Linked DNA regions of Macaca mulatta. The protein of the gene in region 1 interacts with the protein of each later gene in a biochemical or structural test. Links are inferred from orthologs where the notes say so. Each region holds a gene or a part of one and is shown in the gene's direction. Other genes may lie near its edges. The genes, in order: CRY2 and FBXL3.

Region 1 (4,597 bases):
CCAGGTAAGGGGACTAGGATAAGCCTCTAAGAGCCTGCCAATATGAGACTCTAGTGCAATTTTTACTCAAATAATCCTTGAGCGTTAGGTGCCAAGCACTGAGCTAGACTTTGGACATACAACTGTAAATAAGCCACAGCCCCTGCTCTCCAGGAGTTTATACTTTAATGGGGCATTAAGACATTTAAGCAAGAAATTCCAGTATTGTGTGCCAAGACAAGTGACCACAAAGAAGCACAGAATGAGACGGGGCACTATTCAGGTTGGGATCAGACAGCAAGAAGGTGACATCTACACTGAACAATGATACAGAGCAAACTGGAGTTAGAAACAAAGAAGGAAGAGGGAGTGTGATCTAGACTGCGGGAACAGCTTGTGAAAAGCCCTGGAAATGGCAGAGAATGCCTAGGATTGCAGTGACACTGGTTTAGAGAGTGGTGCCAATTAATGCCACTAAATTGCAGACTAAATTGCTAAATGCTTTCATCACACTGTCCCAGGTCCAGGAAGGGTTCCAAGCATGGGCTCAACCTAGGGCCAAGTTGAAACAGACTGTTCTCCACCTGATAACCCCAAAGCTGCAGCTTGACTAAGCCATCTTAGCCTTCCCCAACACCTTGTTGCTGGTGTTTATAGCTTCTCTTGCCATTTAGTCAGTCAATCAGCAAGCTCTATGCTAGACGCCAGAGGAATAAGAGGGTTCCACCTGGCGTCCCAGAAGAATGGGGACAGTGTCCCCCACATCTCTGAACCCCACCCGGAATCCAGTACAGTGCTTTGCACACAATAGTACCACTGGATCTACTAAACAGACTAAAAGAAAATAAATTCATCTGATGGCATAATTACGAGCTCAAGTCCTCCACATTCCCAGTCCCTACTCCCAAATCCTCTAATGCTGCGTATCAGGGCACTCCTTCTCCATCCTTGGACTCTGCCACTTGGAATTACCAAGGATCTTCGCACAAAGAGAAGTATAGCTTCGTGGATAAAAGCAGAAGTTTCAAAATCAGAATAATCTGGGTGAAATCCCTCTTAGTAGCTTTATGATACTGAGCAAGTCGCTCAACCTGCGGCACCCTCCATTTTCTTCATCTGTAAAACAAAAATAACAGCAGCTCTTCCACTGGTGTTCGTTAAATGAATGTAACTGGGCTGAGTTCAGAATAGTAAATGAGACCGACTATGTAAGGAGATGATCATGTCTCTTGCCATATAAAGTGCACTTAATAAATGGCAGTTGTAGTAGAATGATGTAGATGATGCTGGTGACGATGTTGGTGATAATAGGAAGGTCAGTTGTCAGTTTTGCAAGTCTCTGACTGTAGTCACAGCAACCCCTACCAGCCCAGGCAGCTTCTTCTAGAAGCAGGCCCTGAACAGGACATGTGTAAGAGATCCGCTGTACCTCGAGACTCGGCCCACTCCCGGCCCTCCGCGGACTGTGCCAGCCTGCGTCACTTGTCCGCCTGCCAGCTCCACCCAGGCGGACCCACACATGGTAGGAACGTGAGGGGGCGGGGCCTGTTCTGGCGTCTCTGGGCCAATCGCCGGGCGGGAGGCACTCAGCCAATGGCACAGGAGCTCTAAGGCCCTGGGGGCGGGGACGAAGGGAGGAGCTGCGGCGTCATAGGTCACTGGGCGGTCTGTGGGCGGGGTCCGCGTCGCCTACCGGGGCGGAGCGGGGGTGGCCGGAGCAGTCTGGACAGTCATGGCGGCGACTGTGGCGACGGCGGCAGCTGTGGCCCCGGCGCCAGCGCCCGGCACGGACGGCGCCTCTTCAGTGCACTGGTTCCGCAAAGGGCTGCGGCTCCACGACAACCCGGCGCTGCTGGCGGCCGTGCGCGGGGCGCGCTGCGTGCGCTGCGTTTACATTCTCGACCCGTGGTTCGCGGCCTCCTCCTCAGTCGGGATCAACCGATGGAGGTGAGGGGACCCGGGGCGGGGTGGCGGGGACGCAGCCAGGACCCTGACCCTGGGGTGACCGGCGAACAGCACGATTCTCTCAACCTCTCCACGGCTGGGAGGCCGTGGAGAAGCCGAGACCGGGGAAGTAATTCGTCATGGTCCTAACGCGCCGGTGGGCCAGGGCTCAGCCTCTGACAAAGCGCGTTCGCACTGTTACCCCTCTGAGCCTCACAACTGCCTGTGGAACGGAGATCATGATCCCCGTTGTACAGATGAGACCCTTGGGTCCTGGAGACCCAAAGTCGACCTGTCCAAGGACTTGCAGCCAGTGAGTGGCGGAACAGGGGCTCCTGGTCTAGGGCTCTTATGGTCTACTCAGGGAGGGGCAGAAGGGAGATACTGTGGTGTGAGGGCGGGACGGGTTTTTGCTCGCATTCTTCAAGTAAAGAGCCCATTGCTGGGCTCGGGGAGATCATTCCTAAGCCTCTGGCTTGTTTGAATCCGCCCTACCACCCATCCTGGCTTCCCTGCGCCCAGACCGTCCTGCCTCTAGGGGTGTCAGGTGACCCTGGCTTAGCATTAAATAAAGTCTTCTCCCCTATGTTATAAATAAAGAAGCCAAAGGTGTCTTCAGGTGGAATCGCGTTGTGTTCAAAGCTCCAGAGAATCCAGGGGATTCTCCAAAATGGTTTAAGCCCTGCTCTGGAGCTTTGACCTCGATAAAAAAAAATTTAAAAGGATCCAAAGTGTCACCCCGTCATCCTCTTGTCATGATTTTAGAGGACAGTTGAGCCATTAGAGATGAGACTTCTATGAACTGTTGTGCTAAGGTTAGGGAGCAGGAAAGCCATGATATCAAGGGCCCCTCTGATGACCCCCCAGGAGATGGAGTCGACATGATCATGGAAAAAGATGAACAGGTCGTTAATGTATTTTCTTTGTAAGCAGTATTCAAATTAAAGAGTTTTGAGACATCATGTACCCATCGCTCTTCAGAACACCTAGTGGCAGTCGCTGGGTTTGTTTACATTGTTCTGGGGAATGTTTGCTTGTGGCCTTGTTGCACTGATGGACAGGGTTATTTCCAGGATACCGTGGCTCTCGGCACACCATTCTTTTCTCTCCAAGGTGTGTACCCTGCTAAGAGAGTGAGTGCTCCTAGCAGTAGGTCTGTTCAGTGTCCCCTCTTGCCCAGTTTATATAGAAGGAACAATTAAAGAGTCCTGTGGAGAGCCTGCCCACAGTTTTCAGGCTGCCTTATTGCTCTGTCTCTGCTCCAGTTTTCTACAGATAGGAGGTTGTGTTTGACAAGCATCATCAAATGACCATCCCTAGTGTGGACATTAAGCCAAGCCTCAGACTGCCCTGCACCAGTCAGAGCCAGCCAAATGGAATCCGACTACCTTCTTGTTACATTGTCACAGAGTTTCTTCTTTTATTGGGTTTTGGGGGACACTGCCTAGTACTACCTACTCTTTTTTGATAGGGGAGATTAAAAATCAACAATAAAATTCCCGTTGATTAAACTCCAGTTTGCTAGGAACCAGGTGTTTATGGATTTTTGTGGGTTATCGTTTTGTGATTGTGCTGTCAATCTAGTGAAGGAGAAAAGGAATGTGGCTTAGATGCCTGAGTCAAATCCTGAAGTCAGAGGCTGTGTAGGAATGCAGATATTAATTGATTACTTAATGAATGCCTAATATCTGCCAGGTAGTGCTCTAGATGTTGCTAGGGATACAGCAGTGAATAAACAGATGTGTCTGTGCTCCAGAACTCCTGGAGCCTACATTTTATTGAAAGAAGACCAGCAAACAACCATAATTTAGTGAAACGAAGTGCCATGAGAAACATAAGATAAGGGGACAGACTAGAGCAGTGGTTCTCAATCTTGGCTGCTATGTATTGGAATCCCATAAGGATCTTTAAAAGATGCCTGGGCCCCTTTCCCCCAATTCTTTTTTTTTTTTTTTTTGAGATGGAGTTTTGTTCTTGTTGCCCAGGATAGAGTACAATGGCACAGTCTGGGCTCACTGCAACCTCCGCCTCCCAGGTTCAAGCAATTCTCTTGCCTTAGCCTCCCAAGTAGCCAGGATTACAGGTGGCCACTGCCACACCTGGCTAATTTTTTTGTATTTTTAGTAGAGACAGGGTTTCACCATGTTGGCTAGGCTAGTCTCAAACTCCTGACCTCAGGTGATCTACCCACCTTGGTCTCCCAAGCTGCTGGGATTACAGGGCATGAACCACTGTGCCCAACCCCTTTCCCCCAGTTCTGTTAGAATTGTTCTTGGTTATGGCCTGGGCATTAAGGTTTTGGGGTTTTTTGTTTGGTTTTGGTTTTGGTTTTTGGTTTTTGGTTTTTGGTTTTTTGTGGGGTTTTTTGAGACAGGGTCCTGCTCAGGTGACAACCCAAGCTGAAATGCAGTGGCATGATCATAGCTCACTGCAACCTTGACCTCCTGGGCTCCAGCGATCCTCCTGCCTCTGCCTCCCAAGTAGCTGGGACTGCAGGCTTGCACCACCATGCCTGGCTAATTTTTGTATTTTTTGTAGAAATGAGGTTTCACCATGTTCTCCAGGCTGGTCTTGAATTCCTGGTCCTAAGCAATCGCCTGCCTGAACCTCCCAAAGTGCTGTGATTGCAAGCGTGAGCCACTGTGCCCGGCCTTGGGCATTAAGGTTTTTAAAA
Region 2 (3,814 bases), on another chromosome or scaffold:
TTCGGGGTGATTCTAAGTCTCCTCTTCCTGTGAGCAGTCCAGGTGATTCTGATTAAGATGGTTAAGGAAACTCACTCTAAGAAATACGGGTTACATGGTATAGCGCCACCTTCAAGCTTCAAATGGGAAATGAAACAATCTGAATTGATTTTTAGTGTACCTACCATAGCTAAAATACAAATGTACCTACTGACTCATATGGTATATTTAAAAATACCATATTAAAAGATATGTTGAACATAAGCTTTCTTTTTTTTTTCTTACCATTATGCTTATATCTAGTACTAATTTGGGAACCATGAATGGAGCTAATGGAAAGAATGCTTCTTATTAAGTGAGTCTAGGATACTTAATACTGTTTTTCTTTTTCTTTTTTTTTTTTTTTCCGTTTATGGCTTTGGTAGAAGATTGAAATAGGGCATTGCAATATTTTGGAAATCTTGAGAGAACTGAAGACAACATAGAAGAAATGTTTTTGACTAGAGCTAAATTGGGGAAATGGAAAAAGACGTCAGTGATGCAGTCATTAGACTGCAAATGAAATATGTTTGTACAAGATATAATTGAGTTTGATATGAAAATATTAGGAGAAAGATGTTAACATTTAAGTAAATAGTTACTTAATCAAAATCTAAGTAGTTAACCAGTTGTTTAATCACAGTAGGGAAAAAGTAAATTAGGGAATTATGACCAAGAAGACAGTGTTTTGGTTGGGTGTGGTGGCTCACAGCTATAATCTGAGCACTTTGGGAAGCCGAGGCAGGAGGTTCCGTTGTGGCCAAGAGTTTGAGATCAGCCTGGGCAGCATAGCAAGACCCGTCTCTACCAAAAAAAAAAGTTAGCTGTGCGTGGTGGCTCACACCTGTAGTCCTAGCTACCAGGGAGGATGAAACAGGATTGCTTAAGTTCAGGATTTCAAGGTTGTAATGAGCTAAGGAGGTGCCACTGCATTCCAGCCTGCGTGACAAGAACAATACTCTGTCTCAAAAAAAAAAAAAAAAAAAAGTAATGTTTCATTATACTTTCTTGGCTCTTAGCCTGCCCTCATCCTTTTTCACTCCTGTAGAGAATTTGTAAAGCTAACTGGAGCATGAAGTTGGTTTTATAGAGAGGAATATGTTGGACCATGTATTAGCCTGCCTTTACTCTCCTAGATTCTTTGCCTAATGGTTTCAACTCATATCTTAGCTCCGACTGAGAGCTGCATACTTTGAGAATGCTTTAATTCCTGTTTGCCTACATTGATTCCTTTAGGTCATATTCTGTCCAACAGATACATACGTGTGTATGTGTTTATACACACATATGTACGTACATATATACATATATATGATACATGATGAATGATTTCATTGGTGCTTTTGTGGATCAAAATACATTAAAATAGAAGACTTGAAAATATTGTAGATAACATTTTGAAGGAATTTTAAACTTGGAATTTTAAGTATGATTTTGATTGTTTTAGAATCAAAATTTCTATGAGTTTTCATATCTCAAATGAGTCTCAGATTTTAAATAGATTATTAATTTTTAATGATGGTGTTAATAGTTACTGTTTAGTGGGCATACCTATCAAACAGAAAAGAAATGCAGTTTAGTGTTATAAAACACTAGGGTTTCCAGATACGGCAAAGTGAAGTATCTGAGAGATTCTCATCCCTGGTTCCAGAATTCCTCTTTTTACTTACCAGTGGTTTCTCCAATTTAGAGACACTTATTCTGAGGCTTGAAATGTTTTTTTCCCCTACACATAAATAGGCTCTTCTCAAAGATAACAGATAGTCACCTCTTTTGCCATACTCCCAATAACAGAGTGAAGGGGTGCCACCCCTAAAACATTTACAAAATATTAATGTCATTGTGACTCAGATAAACTGTAGTACTAGGAAACCCCTCAATTCTCATTCCTAAAAATTGAAATAATTTTTTTTTTTTTTGCTTTTCAGTCTCACTTTATCTCTGCACTGACAGTTGTGTTTGTAAACTCCAAATCCCTGTCTTCGCTTAAGATAGATGATACTCCAGTAGATGATCCATCTCTCAAAGTACTAGTGGCCAACAACAGTGATACACTCAAGCTGTTGAAAATGAGCAGCTGTCCTCATGTCTCTCCAGCAGGTATGTTGTGTTTTTTGCTAGACACATTTTCGTAAAATGCATTGGTATGTTCATCAAATTAGAAAAAACTATGATCATTAACCTTAAAGGTGGATTGATACGACTGCTTCATCTCTTTAAAATATTTTTAATATAGTAATAGAATAGCATAAGTAATAGAATAGCATAAGTTACTAGCCTAGACACTGGCTTTCAGCTTATTTTCCAATCTTATTTGGTAAATTTATGAATAGCACATGCTAGAAAATGGACAGGAGAAAAAGAGGAAAGGACAGTATGAGGTCAGCCTGAGGTGTCCCATTAAGTACAGTAGAATTTTTTCTCATTGTAGTTGAGCTAATAGGGTAAGTTTTGAGTCAGAGCAGTCACATAATTGCTTTTCTTCTCACTATGTAGAGGGAGAAGAGTTGTACTAAGTGGTGGCCTTACATTTTGCAAGATGGTGTTTTTCTCTAAGTTGAATTTTGGAGCCAAGAACCCATCAAATGGGAGAAGAGCATTATAAAAGCTCTTTCCAGTTTCTCTTATATAGGATTTTCTGAGCATTACTGAATTATTCAGTTTGAGATTATTTAAATTCCAGGTGGTTTGTATTGAAAAGAGAGTGTAAATCCTACTACTATATTATATATACTGCTATCTGCTGCTTCATTCCTGACTCCTCCCACTATTGACATGTTTGCTGATCCTTTAGCTGTGTTATTTCGGAAACCTGTTCTTTAAGGGATAGTGTCAAATCTTTGATCTTTACAAAACACTTCCAACCTTCTTGCCATCGGTAAAGGTCAGCCTTCTCCCAAGAAATGATTCCATTTTAGATGGAGATTGCTTGCTCATTCTCCCAAGTCTCCTTGCTCATTCTCTTTTCTCCCACAGGAGGCTCCTGGTGATGAGAATGGCTAGGTCTGTGGTTGTATTTTCTTAGCTGTCTCTGCCACTTACAGATTACCACTGAAGCTATTATAAACCAGAAGTTAGGAATAGGCTTTGGCAGTTCTTATATGACTTGTATTACATTTTTTTTATTTACTGTATAGCTCTGCTCTCAGAATAAAGTCTGTGCTTCCTGGCTTCATAGTGTACAAGGTCCTTTGTATCTTGATCTCCATCTGTCTCTTGCTGGTCACTCACGTGGAGCTTTTACTTGGGTCCTGTGGAACTACAGATTTTTGTTTGTACCTTTGTTTGTGGTTGCTCAGTACACTTTACCCTGTGGAATACTTGCTCAAATGTTTTAACTTCACCTTGCTAACTGCAGCCAGCCCAGGCTTCAGAGTTCAGCTTAGATGTGATCTGTGTTGACCCGCCTGTCAACATAGGAGAAGAAGGGAACTTCTCCTTTCTGGTTGAGATTTCCCACCTGTGTATTTCCAGAACACTCTGAACGTTTTTGCTAACATTTACCACATTGTATGAGTCTTTATGTCTCTGATTTCTCTATAAAACTGAGAGTTCATAGTTCTCTTTATTCTGGTATATCCTGTGTTCATTCATTTTTATTAAATATACACAACAGTTCTGATAGTATAGTATAAGCTTACCTGATACCACTTAATTGTAACTGCCCAATGAGTTCACCTTGCCGGTTGTCCAGACAACTGATTTATCAAGATGGGAATTGCAATGGAGAAAGAGTAATTCACACAGAGCCGGCTGTGCAGGAGACTGGAGTTTTGTTATTACTCAAATCAGTCTC

What was found.
Region 2: the proteins of CRY2 (region 1) and FBXL3 form a complex in vitro, tested with the Homo sapiens proteins (2 studies listed by BioGRID, with this or other methods). The link is inferred for Macaca mulatta from reciprocal best matches to the Homo sapiens genes CRY2 and FBXL3.

What each region holds. Positions count from the first base shown.
Region 1 is NC_133419.1:19,770,478-19,775,074, reverse strand, and holds the start of CRY2 (cryptochrome-2), read left to right. Parts: upstream 1-1,698; 5' UTR 1,699-1,711; coding exon 1,712-1,926; intron 1,927-4,597. UniProt on the Homo sapiens protein: Transcriptional repressor which forms a core component of the circadian clock.
Region 2 is NC_133422.1:71,808,013-71,811,826, reverse strand, and holds part of FBXL3 (F-box/LRR-repeat protein 3), read left to right. Parts: intron 1-1,946; coding exon 1,947-2,118; intron 2,119-3,814. UniProt on the Homo sapiens protein: Substrate-recognition component of the SCF(FBXL3) E3 ubiquitin ligase complex involved in circadian rhythm function. Plays a key role in the maintenance of both the speed and the robustness of the circadian clock oscillation.